2 linked regions of the Struthio camelus genome follow. The protein of the gene in region 1 interacts with the protein of each later gene in a pairwise test. Links are inferred from orthologs where the notes say so. Each region holds a gene or a part of one and is shown on either strand. Other genes may lie near its edges. The genes, in order: POLDIP3 and ERH.

Region 1 (9,393 bases):
ATCAGCCGCGTCACTGTGCCTTTAGCTGCTTCATATGCTGCTGTAAGATTCAGTGCAGGTAACATAACCGAGATGCTGTGCCACGCACTACCCCCAAGGTATTGTGACGCCCTTCGTATAATTTCCTAACAAATATTTAGAAAAAGGAGCTTAGAGATGAGACAGGGAGATGGTCTCATCTGCTCTGACTTCTGCACCCTGGCTCTCAGCCGCCTGCTGCTCAGGTAGACGCCTTCAAGGAGTCTGCTTTTTCAAAGGCTCCAGGGCAGGCCTGAAAATTACCCAGCACATTTTTACAACGGTCCTCTGGTAGAAGCAGCATGAGCTCTCCCAGGGCACAGGGACGTCTCTCAGGTGCTGCTTGCACCTTCCTCCCCCTCAGTCGCGAGAAGGGAAGCAGCACCCTGGGCCCTTCCCTCAGCAAACACCTAAGCAAGCAACCGGGAGAGACCTGTGAAAGCTGAGCCGCAGCTTCCCTTGTCTGACAGCCAGAGTAACACAATCATAAACCCAGGGAATGGGAGAGCCTGAGGTTTAAACTCTCATGAAACAGCAAAACTAATTCCCACTAACCAGCATCCCACAGAGACTCTAACACAGGAAACGCAGGTGCCTGTAGAGGGAAGGGAGGCGGGGGAATGCCCGTGGTGCTGAGCCAACGTGTCCAAACTGTCCCTCAGACAACTCCTGCGCACCAGCTCTGAACACCCAGGTGGTCGCAAGTCTCAGGCTGGACAGGACCATTTCAGAAAGCTGGGCCCTGACCCAGCATTTGAACACATAGGGTGATATTTTTTTTCCTTCCGTTTTTGTGAGGCTAAAGGATTTTCCTTCCTCAGCTGAGATCCTGGGGACTAACCCATTCCCAGCACCCTGGAGGCAGGAGAAACCAGGCAGCCCTGTCCCAGGTTCAGCCTCAAGTCCTGCATGGGATTAGTGTGAACCAGTATTGGGAACAGCCCTTCCTCCCTCCCACTCCCTCCACGGGTTTGGAGGAGGAGGAGGAGGAAGGAGCCAGCATCCTGCAGATGTAGGAGCCCTGCAGGGGCTTGAATACACCTGTACCTCTCTGTTCTGGGGACCTGTCTGGTGCCTGTGTGACAAAACTGGTGAGAAAATAAGAATCACCTGCAATGCTGTCACACTGCTTATCAGTTTAAGGCATAGCCTCATGATTGCAGAAAAGGGGACACTGATGTGTTTGTGAGTACCAGAGAAGTAATAAGGACAGTACAGCCAGCAGACCCTAGATGAGTTATTAGACCTGGAATTGGGATGATAATTCCAAACGTTGCGCAAGCTGCAACGTTCCCATTTTAATATGCTCTGTAGCCAAAAGCTAAGACGTGCAACCAGCTTAAAAGAGCTCCAGTGGGAAATGGCTGAATTTTTAACAGCAATGTGTAACTTCCCACTTAAAACATCCTTGGTATCTAAATGTGATGCCAGTCTTCCAATAAAGGCTCCAGGGGAGACCTGGCGACCTCCAGGGCTGCAAGCCCAGAGGCTGCACTGACCAGATGAGTAGGCTCTGAAAAGAAAGGAGAGAATCAGTGGGCTCCGTAGAAATATGGCCTACTTGGGAAGAGTCATGAAGGGTCAACAAGCAGGTGAGTACTACTCAGATAATCTAAACTCTCTGAATGGCTGAAAAGTTTTGAAAAAAGCCCTTCACCAAAGTCCTTCAAGGAAACTGTGCAGCTGCAGGATAAGAGAGGTCTATCATGAATGAATGATTGGCTAAAAAATAGGAAACAGACGGTGAGGGTAAATGGAGGGAGGTCAGTGACGGAGCTTGGCTGGGATCTGTGCTGTTTAACATGGCTGTAAGTGACCTTGGAAAGAGAGCAAGGAGGTTATAAAGTTGGCTGATGATGTGAAATTATTTACCGTAGTGAGGAGGTTGAAAAGCTGTGAAGAGTTGCAGAAAGACCTTACACACTGAGTGACTGAGTGGCAACAAAAAAAAAAAAAGTCAGAGGAAATTCAGTGTATTTATACATAAAGTGATGCTGAGAGGGGAAAACACTCCTCACTATACATACAAAAGGACAGGCGGTCACCTGATCGCTATCACTCAGCAGCAAGACCCTGGGGATTTGATAGAGAATTCTGTGAAATTATCAGCAGTAGTCAAAAAATAAAATCCAGGATTAGGAATCATTGTGAAAGGAGTAGGAAACGAAACACAGAACATCCAAACATGCCATTATATACCTGCGTGATCTGCCTACATCTGAAACTGGAACGGCGTCAGTGAAGGCCAACAGTAATAATCAGTGGTCTGAAAGGGCTTTGATAGGAGGAACGGGTGAGTAGGCCTGGCCTACAATTCATGAGCAGACGAGAAGGTGGGCAGAGGCCACACGTGCGCTCCCTGCCTTAATTCCAGCAACTAGGCTGGTGGGAGCCGGATGCAAAACAAGGGGAGGTGGCTCTTCCCACAGCAGGGAGCAGACCTGTCGCACTCCTTGCCAAGGCATACTGTGGATGCAAAAATATTGCTGGGGGTCAAGACGAGTCTGGACAGGCATCTGGAAGAGTCCTGCGTTGGGGGTTACCGAAACACAGGAAATCATCAGAATACCATGAGTAGCTGGTAGCACACTCAGGGGAAGTACCATATGGGCTTGTCCTCTTCTTCCTCTTCCCTGGGCATCCTCTTATGGCCACTGTTTTGGTTAGTTTGGATTTGTACCCCCCCCCCCTTCTCCCACAAACGATGCAGCTGTTTCTCACATTTGGGGAAATTGCAAGGGGCAGCACACCAGAGTGGGCCTCAGGCTGGGGAACCCACCTTCCTGATGCTGCTGCCTCCCCACAGCCTGGAAATAGGATACTGGGCAGACAGACCCTGGGTCCCTACTGTTCTTATGTTCAGTCAAATTTGCTCAAAAAAGGTGACTATTAGTTTTGCAACAGCAGGCTTTATGGCTGGTCACACATCATCCGCCACATTAGTTTGATCAAGTATCTGCTGCAGAAAAGCCCGCACAAAAGCAGGAGAAGGGCGTAAACTCATGCTCGTGTAGCTAGTTTGATAGCAACGCAGTCACGTGCCAGCCTTGATCCGGGTCAGGTGCGTACCAGGGCCGCCGCAGCTCGGGGCGGCGCTGCGGGGAGACCGCAGGAGGCACACGACGAAGGTGTGGGGGGGACGAGGTCGCCCTCGTGCCGGGGAGCTGCCGCGTGGAGACCTCTGCGTCTCCGAGGTCTCCTGTCTTCTAAGGGAGGGCGGAAACCCCTCGCTGTGGGCTCACAGCACCGCGTTGTGCCCGAGCAGGTCACTGGGAGGGAGGCCCAGCAGCACCAGGGCCCCACAGGGAAAGCCGCAGCCGTCTCCCTGCGGGCCACCGCCACGGAGGCTGGCGAGCCACGGGGCACAGCAGGGGACAACTCTGCGGCCACTTAGCAGCAGGAAGTCCACGTCGCCCGAGTCCGTACAAGGCTCTTCCTTTCCACGGATTCCTTTTCTGGGCAGTCTGCTTTTAAACCGAGCGACTTCTCCCACAAAAGCATTAAAATAAAATCTTTTCCTAGAGAAACGGGAGGCGTCAGAGCAATTTTGGCAACGTACTTCTAACTGTTGTGAAATCCTTGAGGCCAGCTCGGAAAGACCGCATTACAAATCAAGCAGACGGGGCTGTTTTCTTGGGTTGGTTTTTAAGAAGTTTCATCGAGTTATCCTTTATGACGTTTGACGGGTGAAGTTCACCAACGGCTCTCGCCGGCTCAAGGAGGAAACCGCGGGTCGCGGGAAGCCCAGCTCGCCTCGCCCCCCGCCCGAGACGGGCAAGGTGCCGCCGCCGCCCCGGCAGAGACCGTTGGTGGCGGCCCGGGGGCGGGGCGGGGCTATGACGGCCGCTGAGGCCCCACTGGCTCCTCTCTCTTTGGGACGGGCAGCTCGGGAGGGTCGGGCAGATCATGGCACCCGGGCATCCCGCGAAGTAAGCGGGTCACCCGGGGACGACCTGTACCCGCGCAAAAATTCCTCTCACATTAGCAGTGAGGACCCGGGCGTCACCCCGGGTCGTTATTTTCCTTACTCATAAGTTTAAGGCATAACGCTCCCCTCCCCGCCCCGCCGTGGCAGCCCTGCGCGCCAGCTCCACAGGTCACGGCGACCAGACCGCTGCGCCGTCCCGCAGAGGGATAGCGGTGTCTCCGCCGCCCCGATCTTTCTGCCCGGTGCGGGCCCCTCTCCGCGCCGTTTAAACGCGGCAGCGGACCGGACCGGTACGGGACGTGCGGGCGGCCGTATGTAAATGAGGGACCGGGGCGCCGCTGGGGGTTCTGGGTCCGCCGGGCTCGCGCGCGCCCTTCTCTCCCCCGCCCCTGTCGCGCACTCAGGCGGAGCCCGGAGGGGGCGGGGAGGGGGCACGCGCTTACTTCTGGTGGGCGGGGCGAGGAACGGAAGCCGCTTGATGTCACGTCCGGGTCTCGCTCGCTGCGTCTTATCTCTGGGCCCGGCGACAAGATGGCGGACCTCTCCCTGGACGAGCTCATACGGAAACGCGGCGTGACCGTGAAAGGGAGGTAGGTGGCCGGCAGGGCAGCGCCCGAGGCCGAGCTTCCCCCGGCGGCTCCTTCGTCCTCCCCCCTAGTCTTTCCGCTTTGGGGGGGCGGGGGCCGCGGGCCGCAGCCTGCCTCAGCGCGGCCCGGCCCCTTTCCGTGCACTCGCCTCTCCATTGGCTTAGGCGGCGGCCCGTGGGGCGTCGTTTTGGGCACTGATTGGTGGGGCGGGCCGTCGCTCACCGACGGGACGGGGCGGGGGGGGGTCGCCGCTCCCCCGGCGCTGCCCCCGGCGCGGGGTCTCCTTCCCGTACCGAGCCCTTTCCCTCGCTGCCGAGGCTCCTGGCGCAGCCGGCCCTTCCTCCGGTGCCTCCGACCTCCTCTCCGCCCGTGAACCCGCTTGCGCTCCCCAAGGCGGGGGTCGCGCCGCCTCGGGCCTGCAGCGGCCGCTGGGCTGCGGGGCCCGGGGGGGAAGGAGGCGCCGGGGCCGGCGGACGGGGGCCGCTGAGGAGCGCCGCGGCGCATTGCGGGACGGCCGCGGGAGGGGTCGGAGCGCCACGGGGCGCCCTGAGGGTAGCTGCGGTGGGCGGCCGGGGCACAGCGCAGGCACAGCTTCGTCGGCGTTGATGCCGGCCCCTTGGAAACTGCCGCCTCTGTGGCACGGCTGGCCGTGCCCTGGCGGACCGTGTGGAGCGGGATACATGGGAGCAACGAGATTAGGCTCGGGCTTTGTATGGCGGGCGTCTCCGTACGTATGGCCGTTCGCTCCTTAGTGTAGCTGTTGGCAGGTTCTCGTTCGGCGTCCCCTGTGATAGCTTTTCATCCTCCCCTTTGCTTTAGTCTCTTGATGCTTTTCGCGATGCTGTCCACGGATTTCTCTGCTCTGCGTTAGCCAAGTTTGCCTCTGTTTTGGTGCTCTCTGGCCACTGAGGAATCTTGGGCTTGAACTGTGAATATGAGCGCTTCCGTGTCTAGAACAGTATTTTGAAAGTTCTCTGCTAACAGGTAGTAACTGAAAGATTCAAACACACCTCTGAATCGTAGCCTAGACAAGGCCTTGGCTTTGTGCTTTCATTCATGTTATGCTGCGTGTTTGGAACAGTCTTGCACTGCTTAATATGCCAAGCACCACCTCCTCCTCTTTTTCAAATCCCTCCTTAACTCTCATTTCTTCCAGGAATCCTTCCAGCTTTTATCTGCTGAGCAATAATCTCTCAGCAGCACTATTAGAATGTTTCTGCCTTGTGTTTCTCTTGTTTGGCATCTTTAGCTCATATTATAAGATTTCTGAGGTAGCTAACGTGCCTTTCTGAATGCCGGACAAGCCAAATAGACTTTTATCTTTGCATACATGCTCTTTAGTAGTCCAAGGGAAATGGTAACAGGAAAGTATTCAGCTATAAAATGTGCTAACACACAAGCTCTTATAATGTGCCATGGATAAGTCAGTTAGAACTTGCAGTAACGGAAAGTGAATTTTATGGAATTATGATGTTTGAGATTCCCTTGTGTTTCAGGTATCGTGGCACAAAATGGGCACATAATGCCTAAAGCAGTTTGTGTTGTTTGTTTTAAGATAAGCAAAAAAAAAAATTCTTTATGAAGATAAACTCTTCTTCAGAGGCGGTGTAATCTTCTGTACAGTTTCCTAACTGATTTCATTGATAGGCATCCTAACTGTTCTAATTAAGTCTGGCTTAAATGCTAGTATGTATATTCCTGGTTTACTTTGACTTCTCTTTTATGCTTATTAAAAGGAATCACTCATCAATCTTTCTACAGCACTCTAACCAAATGCTTGCAGCATTTTAAGATAACAGGCCTTAAAATTACAAGGGAAGCTTTTGTTTTGTGGCTATTGCTTTGCAAGTACTGTTCCTCTTTCATATACTTTTGGATATATTTTAACAAATGGACTTAATATTTTTGTCTCTTAATTGGCATGCTCTGTCTGAATGAGATCAGCCATAGGATTTTTAGCTAGCTGACAAAATGGGACTCCAGGCCTACTTTTCCATTTGTCTTTCATTCTTGCTGCATCCAGACACAGAGGATGATGCAAAGTCTTTTCCATCTCTTTTCCACTATTTTTCCACAGACCTCTTCACTGTAAATACATGACTGTAAGTAGAATGCTAAAACTGTAGTGTTAGATAAATCAGGAAGTACTGATACAAAGCTATATGGAGAAGTTGACTTGTGGTGGTGTTTGAATTTGTGATGTTAGTCTTTTAAGTGTTACAACAAATTCTAAAATTCAATAAAATATCTAGGTTTTATAATACTGTGCAGTACTTTTAACAAAGCATATAAACACTGTAGTGCTCTAGCTTTTTTTTTTTTGAATAAAAAAGCCAATGGTGAGAATGTTTTTCAGGACCTTAACTTTAAAATTTCTCCTGCAACTTTGTCATCTTCTTCCAAAAAGAAAACCCAATGAAAAAATCCAAAACTTAAAAATACTAGGAAGAGAAGGTGTATTAAAAATGCAGACAATTCAGCTTATTCCTTTTAGGGGAAGCTTTGAAAAAAGTAAATCAAATCTGTAATGAGAAGCTAGCTTCAGCTTTCACTACAGAATAGGCTACTTCTTAATAACATCTCCATCTGAATGTAAGAAAAACTCTTTACCGTGAGGGTGATTGAACACTGGAACAGGTTGCCTAGAGAGGTTGTGGAGTCTCCATCCTTGGAGGTATTCAAATCCCAGCAGAGCACAGTCCTGGACAACCTGCTCTAGGTGACCCTGCTTGAGTAGGGTGGTTAGACCAGATTCTCACCGGAGCTCCCTGCCAACCCCGGCTACTCTGTGATCTGTGTACAAGTACAAACGCCATTCTCGGTCTGAGACTGACGTTCTCTGACTGTTATCCTTCTGTACTGAGTATTGCAATGGTGATGTGCTTTAAAAGGTAAGCCAGCGAGTGCAGCAGTGGTAGTTGTGGATTAGGTGAGAAGCAGTGATGTTAGCAAGTGATTTGACTAGCATGTAACTGTGCTGGCAGTTAATCGGTTTTGGAGTTGGTGGCCTTCAGCTGAGATTTGTACTGGTGCTTGTGCAGCCTAAAATCAAAGCCTCCCGCACTTCTGAAAATCTGAACTTGTTGTCCAGAATTCTTCGAAATCACATGTAGTTTCATGTTTTCTTTGTACCAGGACATATTGTGTTACAAAAGATGTTTTAGAGGACCTGGTCAATCCTAAACCTGGATCATCTGTTTCTGTTTCTCTTTGTGTTCAGAGGGCTCCCTGAAGTACCTAAGTTCTTGATAAATTTCATTTGGGTGTGGGATGGATTTAGCACAGCTCAAGTCAAGCCTTGGGCTCATAAATATGACCTTAAGGACCAATTTTAGAAATCAGTTCTTTATATTTTACTTTGTAAGTAAATAGCTAATGTAAAACAGCTTAGGTTCTCTACTGTTTTTTGGACGTCTAACCTGGATAGGGTTGTGTGTAGTAATAGTGACTTCAGATACTTTTACTGATATTAAATCTTTTCTTACAACGTCTGAAACTCTCTTTCTAGGCTTAACACAAGGCCAGTGTTTGGAGGTGTAAGATCTCGCATTGGGATCCAGCAAAATCTTCTCAGTAGATCCTCACCAGCTGTCAGCTTCCAGCGGACATTTGATGCCCGGCAGAAGATTGGCCTCACTGATGCCCGACACAAACTGGGAGTTAAGGATGCCCGTGAAAAACTGGTTCAGAAGGACGCTCGTTTCAAAATCAAAGGGAAAGTGCAGGATGCTCGAGAGATGCTGAATTCCCGTAAGCAGCAAAGTATTGCTGCTGAAAAGGTGACCAAAGTGGTGGATGCCAGAGAGAAGATAAGCTTAAAAAGGAGCACTCCTGCTGCTGCTGCTGCTATCAGCCCAGCTATGGGGACAGTAAATCCAGCCATGAAAATCACCAAAACTATCCAAGTAGGTCAAGCAAGCCACCTCTAAGCCCCTTAGTTATTCTACTGCAGTCCAGTGGAAGTGATAATACTTACAATGAATGTGTCACAAGATTGCAATAGAAGCCATGGAGATGCGGTTGAACCTAGTCTGTAGGGCAAGGTTTAGAGTCCTCGATTTTCAGCGTCCTTCAGCTCTTTGAGGCTTTTTTGTAGAAGCCAAGCTTTCGTTTAAAGAAAAGAACTTTGGGCCCGATAAATGACTAAAGCAGCATAATGTTCTCAGTGCTAAAGTAATTATCTGAAAGTGTTAAACGTAAAATCTTTCTTTCTCCCAGCTAAAACCTAAGGAAATGCTTTTGTTGTTTTGGGGGGATTTTTGTCATTCTAATACCATTGCATGAGTGTGTTTTGGATTGTCCTGTCTAGATAACTGGTTTATTTCCAGTTTAGAATATGCAACTATTGGTATCTTGTAGCAGATCTAAAGCTTTTCTTTTTAATACAACTTCTGTGTTTATACCCTCCCCCTTTTCAGGGAATTGCCTGATTATTTGACCCGTTCCTCCTGAGGCTCAAGCTTTATTCTGGTTTCAATATCATCAGTTGATTATCCTGACCTGCTGATTTTCTTCATCAGTTTTCAAATTTCATGCTGTTGTGTGCACAGTGACTTGACTCTTAGCTGACTTCTCGAGTAACAACTGCTACTGAGTGTGTGTGCGCGTTAGGTACAGAGAGTAGAGCTAGAAGAGAAGTTTTCAGATTGTCGGGATTGTTTTTTGAGGAGTGGCTTTGTTCCTCACCTCTTCGAGTATGTGACAAGCATGTAACTAGTTCCTAACCTACTGCTTTCACTTCTTCTTCCCAAAGATTTAACAATATGTTTGTACATACCCAGAAAAATATCTAGTCCCCGTCAGTTTGAAAGTCTACATCAGTCTTTCTGCTCAGCTCTGGGTTTTGCTTAAGAGCATGTT
Region 2 (9,142 bases), on another chromosome or scaffold:
CATCTATACAACCAAGGAATATACAGGAAAGATAAATGAAAAAAATACAGAAACACAAGAGAACCAATAACAAAAACACATCTATAATACGTTGGCTGAGTATGAGCTGAAACTGCTAAGTCACCTATATGTATCGAATATAGAGAAAGGCTAAGAAAGAAGTTCAGGACTGCAGGGACAAAGGAAAGATTCCAGAGAAAAAAATGCAAGAGGAATGCTACTTTCACCTAAAGGCTTGGAGACACGTGAGAAAGGAAGTTAAGTTATTAAGACTGTTACTGTCACATGATAGATGAACTACCTTTCAGTCTTCACGGAACATACAACCTGTGTGCAAAAGCTTGCCCTTAGAACTGCCATAATTTAATGGCATTTTACTTATCATGAAAGAACAGGTTTAACTTAAAAACATAAAATTGTGAATAATAATAAGAAAAACTTTAAGAGTAACTTTTTTTTTTTAACTTGAAAGTTCTGATAATGTGCTCCATGTATTCAAAAACAGTCAGATGCGTAAGTTGCCCACTGAATGTGTAGAACTGCAATATGCACCATAATATTTTCAAAATGACGGGTAGCTACAAAATATGACAGACAGGACTGAGTCCCAAAAATAGGTTCAAAATCAGAATTATATAAATCATTTAAAGAGCTTCTTTATCACATTTTAGGGCAATACAAACAGATATTCCACTCTAGGTAGTTACAGATCATGGCACTCCCTTTTCCGCTCTGCAAACATAGCTAAAACTGAAATCTACTGTAAAATCTAAGCATTGCAAATTGGTAATTAAAACTTAAAGAATATTATGTAAACCTAGTATTTTTACAGTGTAATCTAGAAATATTCCAGGAAAATCAAGTTTCCGCAACAAGCTTAAACAACAACAAAAGTAGGTAAGGATTTTGTAAGCAGTTGCTACTAATAGTAAGGACCGCCTTTCTAGAAAGATTCTAAGATTTTGTCTAACTCTGGACAAAAAGCCTAGAAAGAGATCAGTACTCCCTCGACTGCAGTACCTCTTGACTAAATTTTATTTTTCCTAAGAAAGAACAATTTACTATTAACTTTTGTTTGCTTGTGACTAGAACACTGACAGGCTAAAGTCAAAGTCATGCACTGAAAATGCCGTAACATTAACATCTAATGGTACCTAAAATACATCAACTTGCTTCATATGACAAGTTTCTCTCCTATCCAGAGGATCATTTCTGTAATAGCCATTAGCACAACACACATAGTAACTAGTGATGTTCAGATCTTGATGTCAACTGTGTATCACGTACTTTGTGGCAGAACCATCATCATCTTGAATGCACAATCAGATGTCTGCGCACTGCCCAAATACCAGAGTTAACTACTGAGGACCTGGAGATGGAGTGCAGTGTTGGAGTAACAAGAAACCGCTCATAGCATATCCTTATTATGCTCCCCCTGCTTCTCCTCATGCATTGTAATGATGCAAGTTCAATAAATCTCAACGAAATAGATGAGCCTCGTATAGAAGAAACACAGGCTCTGGAGGGACTTACAACTAGCTTTCTAAATGCATGCCAGACATGACCATAATGAAATGTTTACAGCTTTACTGGGGAAAATTCAAGGGGTAATATGCAGGAGATGAAAATACTTGTAAAGTTTCCACCAACACACACTGTACAGTCACATGACAAATACACTTGATAGGTTGTTATACAGTGGGAATCTATATAAATAGCTGATCTTCCACACTGACTGTTTTTAAAGTAGTTTTGCCAAAATATGACCTCTCAAAAGCTCAATAAGATGATGTTTATACTGCAACACTATAATCTCTCATTTTACATAATATATATGCACACACACACACACACAGCCAAAAACAAAATGTCACAAGTAATATTGTTTTATTATGACTGCAAATACAGAGTACTGCGTGCATTAATTTGGACATCTGCGATTTTTAAAAATGCATGAAAACAACACACGTTAACAAATTACTATTTCAAGAAAAAACACCATGCTTCTAGATGATTAATACAGACATCTAATAATTGCAGTCCGCCCAGATGGGTGAAAGTCTTCTAGTTTTGTCCAAGAAGCTGCATCTTTTAAAAACAAACCATTTAGTCACCAAAACACTTATGAGTCTCATGAAAAACAACAACAGAGTAAGTTGTGTTAAAACCTCACAGGAAAACATCTTAAATTTCTGTTCCAAAAAAAACCCCCAAACTCCCAAATTAGCAAGCTGTTCCACAGCTCAGCGTTTCTCCAAGAGTGATGTCAGTTTCTTGCTTTAAATCTGTGTAGCATTGAAACTCTGACAACAACCAGCAAAAACTTTCACCTACTTTCAGTAGCAAACAGTCCCACTTCAGTCAACACTGTGTTAGACACTCAAAGGATCCAAACTTCCAGAACTTGATTTTTTTTTTTTTGGCTTTTGAGCTACAACTTAAGAGATAGCCTCAAGAAAAGGCACAGTCTGGTTTCTGGCCCAAGCCTAGCCTAATAGAGTGTTAGGCTATACTACAAATCAGGACTAAGCTAAATGGGTTCATATCCGCATAAACAAACAAAGTGAAGCTCTGCCCAGTCTAGCTTTTTACCACAGATATTTCATTCTCCCTGGCTGTGCTGGAGTTTCATACTTTTAAGAAAATTCAAATCTAACTCAAAGGACAGAAAACAAGACAGAAATAATAACATAAAGAATAGGTTCCACAGCAAAAAAAGTCTTCTGAAGAAATGCATTAACATTAGCAAATAATTTTTTCTCCAGCATCCGGGGTGTATCATGTAAAGCATTCATTTTTATTTCCTATTTCGACCCTTACAAGGCATTTTTTCCTCATTGAGGCTATAAAATGTTTTGCAAACCAGAGAACGTGTAGTCCAAATAGTTCATCTTAGTTTAAAACGTTCCATGCTGCAAATGCTCAGTCAATTATTTAAACAATTCTAACTTTTAATTAGATACTTCCAGGATTAGGTAGTATTTGCACAAAAAACATCTGCAAAGAGGTTCAGCTCCTCTTTTAAATGAACACAACATATGAGTGCTTTAAAAAACTATTTAAGTCGAGTACAAAACTGAGTCAAGAAATTCTGAGAGTTTAAGATACCACAATAAACTTACTTTACAAACTGTGCACACATTTACAAACACTGCAAACATAACAGCAGGCTGGTAAGTATTTGATTACTGTTTATGCAGAGCACTACATTTTTGGTTCTACAAAACTTTTATAACAGATTTCTATCCAAAGCAGTCAGAAGCCCCTAGCGATTTAGGAGTCCCCTGATCCAACTGTACAGACATGTATAAACTGTATAAACAATTCAACGTCATCGCCAAAGAACTTATAACCAAACATAAAGAGACAATAGGTGACTTGCAAGCACACTCCTGAGGAAATTTAAAAAAAAAAAAAAACTTGAGACAATATTTAACATGCTAGGTAGTGGTCTCAGCAAATTTGCAAGAAAGTCCTTTCTAGGCTTCAGAGTAAAAGTGAGTTTTAAAAAGGGAGAAGAAGGTAGCAACAGCCTTGATGACGTTTAAGAGAAGGTCCATCAAAGCATTAGATGAAGCACTGCTAATGCAGTCAACCTAATTTTTATGTAAAGATCTCAGGATATATTCTCATGTTTCAAATCATTCAGTTGAATTTTGCTGTAATGAAAAGAACTACACTTCTTCCCACGCTGTTCACAATCTACTGCTCCCCAAAGCCTCCACCGCACTAGTTATCATGAGACTAAAGGATAAGTTCGAGGTCTGATGTGATGGGGAAACAGGTAACATTTCTTTTCCATCACCTCCCTTTCCAAGAACAGCACTGTATCCAGTAGAAATGAGAAACCAGGCTCTTACCACTTCATAATGACTGAACTTTCACTACACTACACCTTATTGCAACAATCAACATTTCAAAAAAATAAAAGCCGACAGGCCTCAGAGAATATTATGAGACTTCCAGAGACTGTAACAACAGCCTCCTTCTCTTTTAACAATATCTTTTTTATCCTAGATATTTTTCAAAAAGAATACTTTGAGTTGTCAATAATATTAAAATGACTTGAAATTTTTCTTGTAATCATCAAAGAGCTAGATATTACCTCATATTAAGTATGAGCAAAACAGTTAACCAAAACCAATTTTCTGAGAACATTTTCAGAACTGGTTTAGAAGCCCTGACTCAAACAGTCCACGGACACGTAACAAAAGTTAGTCTGACTTCAGAAGCTTCCGACACAAACTCCTTACAAGAATAACAATGCCCAGCTACTCTCCTGTTCTTCAACCATATGCTGAGGCTTCCCTGTACCTGCAGCGGAGAGACCTGCATAAATTTTGATACATTTAAGTAATTTTACATTCGATTTTGAATAAACATTATTTCATGCTGTGATTTTCAGTGAAGGTTAACATCCACTCGTGTTTTCCTTAGAAATCTTTTTTAAGTTAGAAGAGCACCTACAAAAGCATAGCCACAGTTGAAACGGGACAGCATTGATACCTCGTGGTAGATTTTGCATCTAATTCCTGCTATTCTTCCGTAGCAACCAACGAGTAGTTTGGTGAAGCTGTCTTACCTCTGAAAAATTAACTGCCAGAGGGATAATCCCTGCCACATAACAGGCAACCAGCATGGCCAGAGACAGCAGGCAGATGGAGTGGAAATCATCCATTTCGCTGCTTTCTGTCCAGTCCCTTAAAGTGAAATTCAACAGCAACTTTTCCACCTCGCCCCGCACGCCTTAACCCGTGCAGACACCGAGGTCCCAGGAAAGGCCTTCAGCCATGTCTGTCCTGCCCGGCGGCGCCGGTCGGCTCAGCCCCCAGCAGCGGCCCCCTCCGGGCCAGGGGTGCAGCAGCCCCGGCTCTGCCCGCCGCGGCCGACGACGGCCGGGGAGAAGGGGCGGCCCAGCCCGGGCCGGGGCGGGCGCAGCCCTCCCCTGAGGCGGCTGGACCCTGCCCTGCGCCCCGGGGTGGGGGGACCGCCGGGCCCTGACGCTGCTCGGCACAGCGGGCCGGGGCCGCGGGGAAGGGAAGGGGAAGGGCCGGGCCGGGAGGGAACCGGAGGCCGCACCAGTCCGCGGGCTCCCTGCGCCCACCAGACCCCGCCGCCACCTCGGAGGCCAACTGCCACCTCCACGACACAGCACTTCCTCTTCCGGGGCGCACCCGTCGCATCACCCCGCGCGCTTCCCGCCTTCAAGATGGCGGGCGAGGCAGCGGCCGCCCTGCCGCCCGCGCGAGCCGAGGCGGGAAAGCGCGCGGCTCCCTCACCAAAGATGGCGGCGCGGCGTAGCTCTCCCTCAGCTATTCCCACAAGCCCCCCCCCTCCCCCCCACTTCCCGCCCAGCATGGCGTGGGCGGTCGTTCCCGGCATGCTCCGCGCCCTGCCGTGTGGCAGCGCGCTCTCGCGCGCCGTGCGCGTGCGCGGCAGTCTAGCACCTCGTCGTCTATGGTCGGCCGTTAGCGAGGCGTTTCCGGCCGGCGCGGGGGCTTGTGGGGGAATTGTCGGGCGCCTCTTAGTCGGCGGCGGAGCTGCGGAGCGGGAGCCGCTATGGTGAGCGGGCCCCGGTCGGCCGCGCCGCCACCCCCCCCCACCCCCCTTCCCCGCTACCTCCCGGCCTGGGGGCGGCGGCGCGGGCCCTCCCGGGCTGGCAGCGGCGGGCAGGCCGCGGCGGGGGCGGGCGGGTGGCAGCACGTGCTCGCGGCGGGCCCCGGGGCGGGCGCGGGCCGCGGCTGCGGCGCGCACAAAGGGCGGGCGGGCCGCGGCCCTTGGGGAAGCGCCGCTCGGCCCAGGCGGGCGGGGCGGCGGCGGCCTCGGGGGCCTGAGCTGCTGCTGCTGCCGCCCCGCTGCCGCTCGGCGCGGCGGAGCGGAGCGGGGGGTGGGGGGGCAGCTCGTGCTGGCGGGCTGCGGGACCGGCCCGCTGGTCGTAGCAGCTTGTCGCATTCATGTAGTAAACGTGGGTTTTGCTCAAGCAAGACGTTGCGCTTTGGTGGAAAAAGCGCTGTGGGGTTTAGGGCAAAAGTCTTGTGGCCGCCTGTGTAGCGCTTGGGCAGGTAGTTAGTTCCTGCTAGGACAAGCAGCTACAAGCCCTGTCCTGTTGTCGAAAGTGAAAAGATGGAAGCCACTTAAACCGCTATTTCTGGCCAGCAGGAATACCCGAAAGTCCTTTGAGCGCTTGTGGCATATTGCCTGTCTTTACTTTACTATGCCTGTTTATTTGTCCTTCACACTGTTTGCATCTCTTCCCTTTCCATTTTTTGCCTTATTGTTGAATAGCCCCGACAGTTGCGAGAAGCGCCTTTGGACAGATGTTGACTAACTCCTATGCCCTGTTTTTGCCTGTCAGTGCTGCCTTAAGTGTTTTTTCAGGGTTATGTCTTCAATAATGTGCTTAAAGCACGTTCCGAAGAGCTCTCAAGACGTTTAAAATTCATATAACGTAAACCAGTGTGGTATCTACTCTGCTGTCTCCTTGAACAGCAGACAGTTCGATTACACTTTAAAGGAAAGCACAAGAAAACCCACAGTCTGCAACAGGACAGTAAGAGTTCTTATTGGGCTGTTCCTGATAACCTAGTCTGATTAAACAAGGGTTTCTGCATCATCCACCACCACTTTTCTTTTTCCTAACAACAGGATTTATACCCATAGGAAACTTGGATTTGGCCTCTGTCGCCTAAGCATGTATTCAGTAGGGCAGCTAATAGTTTGAGGAAACTTCTCTTGTACTTCTAAGTTTGTCATTCTTTGGCCCTCCTGTGGAGGGAGAGGAGGAGCAATTTCATAAAATCATTCAAAAAGTTTTTTTTCTTTAGAGTAAAAATGTGGGAAGTTCTTAAATTTGAGATATATATTTTGATTTTTTTTATCCTTTTCCTCCTTAAGGTTTTTAGGGGAAGATGAGAAATTAATAGCTAGTTTAGGGGAAGATGAGAAATTAATAGCTAGTAGAGGAAGAAACAAAAGTCAGTAGTAACAGGATCAAAAAATACTGGCAATAATTTAGGCTCATTTCTTGATGGGTGTAGTAGAATTATTATTAGTGGCTTGCAGAAACTAGTCTTCATTATGTATTGCTGTTTTGCACTTAGAAAAGCTGAAAGATATGCCTTTTTAGAGCATGAATAATAATTCCCCAGGCCAGTGTCTGATATGGATATTGAAAAATGTCTTAAGTGATGAATCACTTAAAATCAGAGACTTAGATGCCTGGCAATCTCATTATTGGGATAACGTTAGAACATACATGCACGATGGTTTAACGTTTAAAGAATAGGAGGGATAGCCTGGGTATTTATACACCAGACAGCCTACAATTGTTCTCCACCAAGAGACAGAATACATAATTCAGTCAGTTATTATATCATTTTTTAATGTTAATCAGTTCTCTTTTATCTGTGCTCTTTTAGGTTTTGTGAAATAATCCCAACCTGTTCTTTAATTTTGAGCCTGGTTGAAAAAGATAAATATGTATAACTCTACCTGAATCAAACATCTCATAAGTTTAGTTTGCAAGACATTCTGATGCTAAAATAGTACAACTGTTTTAGAGCAAGTTTCCTAAGCTGCCTGAAGCACTTCCTTTATTACTGTTAATAGAGAATCCTTAGTGCTCAGATGCTCCCAAGAAGTTAAAGTTACAAGTCTTAGAACCAAGCCTTGTCACCAGTGATCAGCAAACAAATGCGATATTGCTGGTAATAGAACTTGATCAAAGTTTGGCAGAATGATTTAGACTCCCTAGTACGACAAGCCTGTTAAGTACAGCAGGCTTTGGAACCGCCAGATACCAGCCCCCCCCCCCCCCTTGAGGAATTCCATTCAAATTAAGTGTCCTGTGACCTACATGAAAGTGGACTTAGCTGGTCTAGTTGTCTTTGCATGATTTTTATTCTAGTGCATAGCTCTGAATTCTCCTTTTGTTCTGTTTCTAATTGGGGAAAAGTCTTGATCTTTTCTGTTCCTTTGTGTCACTTTTTTCTGGTCTCCTTTCCATCTCTTTCTATCATGATATTTGAGACAGCATTTCAAGAACTGAAAACTAATTCCCAGCATGGGAATACTATCAATCGTGGTGTAGAAATCTTTACTGCCTTCCTATATGTTCTTTGCAAATCCTAATAACTTTTTTGCCATTTTTCTGCATCTGAGTACTGAACTGGAATCTTAACTGTCCTGTCCAAATCATGGGTCAGGAGTTTTCTCTCAGCAGTTAATTAATTTAAACCCAACAATATGTTTTAGTAATTATATTTCCAGTGTGGCTTACTCTGCAGTTGCCAGCGTGAATGTTATGTGCTGTGTGCTCACCTCACTTATTAGCATTGAAAATGTTGGATTCAGTTGACACTAATGGAATGGTGTTGTCTAACGTGCTTACAAAATTTCTGTGATCTATAACTCTTAATTAGGTCAGGGACATGTATACTTCAAAAATCTTACCTGTTGTTTGTTCACATTTCTGTACTCTAGTGAAAAATATTACAGAAGTAATGTAAGCCACACAATGTACAACACCCTAAGTCTTTCCTGCAGAAAAGCAAATTTACAGGCTCTGACATTTGGAACAGTTATCTGTGTCATAATTACTGTTCAGTAGACTCACTGAGGTATTAAGAATCAGTGCATCTGTTTTCAAGAAATAGTCTTGAACACTAAATACAGCTTTATAATTTATGTTCTCTTGAAATTGAATGAATAACTCAAAATAACTTTTTGCATTAGGATATTTGAGCTGAGACTGATGGTAAAGTTAAGTTAGACTCGCTTTTGATCTCTGCTTGGGGTATTTAAATCATACTAACAGTCTGCATTTAAAATGAAATAAGCGAATGTGCTAATTGGACAGCTATTATAGATTGACTGTTATTGCTTTGCTTTTCTGTTTAAGTAGAAAATACTATTTCTGTGGTGGTTCTTCAACACAATAGGTGCTTTACTAGTGATTTTACCCATTTAGAAAACATTTTAAGGATGGATAGAACTGATTGGAAACAAAAATTGTTAACACAACATATATGAAAAGTAAGTGCCATTTGGAAAAAACTGTCTCCTCAATTGCCAGATCCATGTTATAATACAGTGCTTGTTTTTAGAGGTATGTGATAGCTGTGTAAGTTTTAAGAATTTACCA

What was found.
Region 2: the proteins of POLDIP3 (region 1) and ERH interact in a two-hybrid assay, tested with the Homo sapiens proteins (2 studies listed by BioGRID, with this or other methods). The link is inferred for Struthio camelus from reciprocal best matches to the Homo sapiens genes POLDIP3 and ERH.

Annotation. Positions count from the first base shown.
Region 1 is NC_090942.1:56,143,744-56,153,136, forward strand, and holds the start of POLDIP3 (polymerase delta-interacting protein 3), read left to right. Parts: upstream 1-5,065; 5' UTR 5,066-5,138; coding exon 5,139-5,260; intron 5,261-7,294; exon of another isoform or gene 7,295-7,404; coding exon of another isoform or gene 7,405-7,424; intron 7,425-8,041; coding exon 8,042-8,438; intron 8,439-9,393. UniProt on the Homo sapiens protein: Is involved in regulation of translation. Is preferentially associated with CBC-bound spliced mRNA-protein complexes during the pioneer round of mRNA translation. Contributes to enhanced translational efficiency of spliced over nonspliced mRNAs.
Region 2 is NC_090946.1:45,490,710-45,499,851, forward strand, and holds the start of ERH (enhancer of rudimentary homolog), read left to right. Parts: upstream 1-5,364; 5' UTR 5,365-5,559; coding exon 5,560-5,562; intron 5,563-9,142. Other genes in the region: SLC39A9 (zinc transporter ZIP9), read right to left, coding at 4,583-4,700, 5,080-5,183. UniProt on the Homo sapiens protein: May have a role in the cell cycle.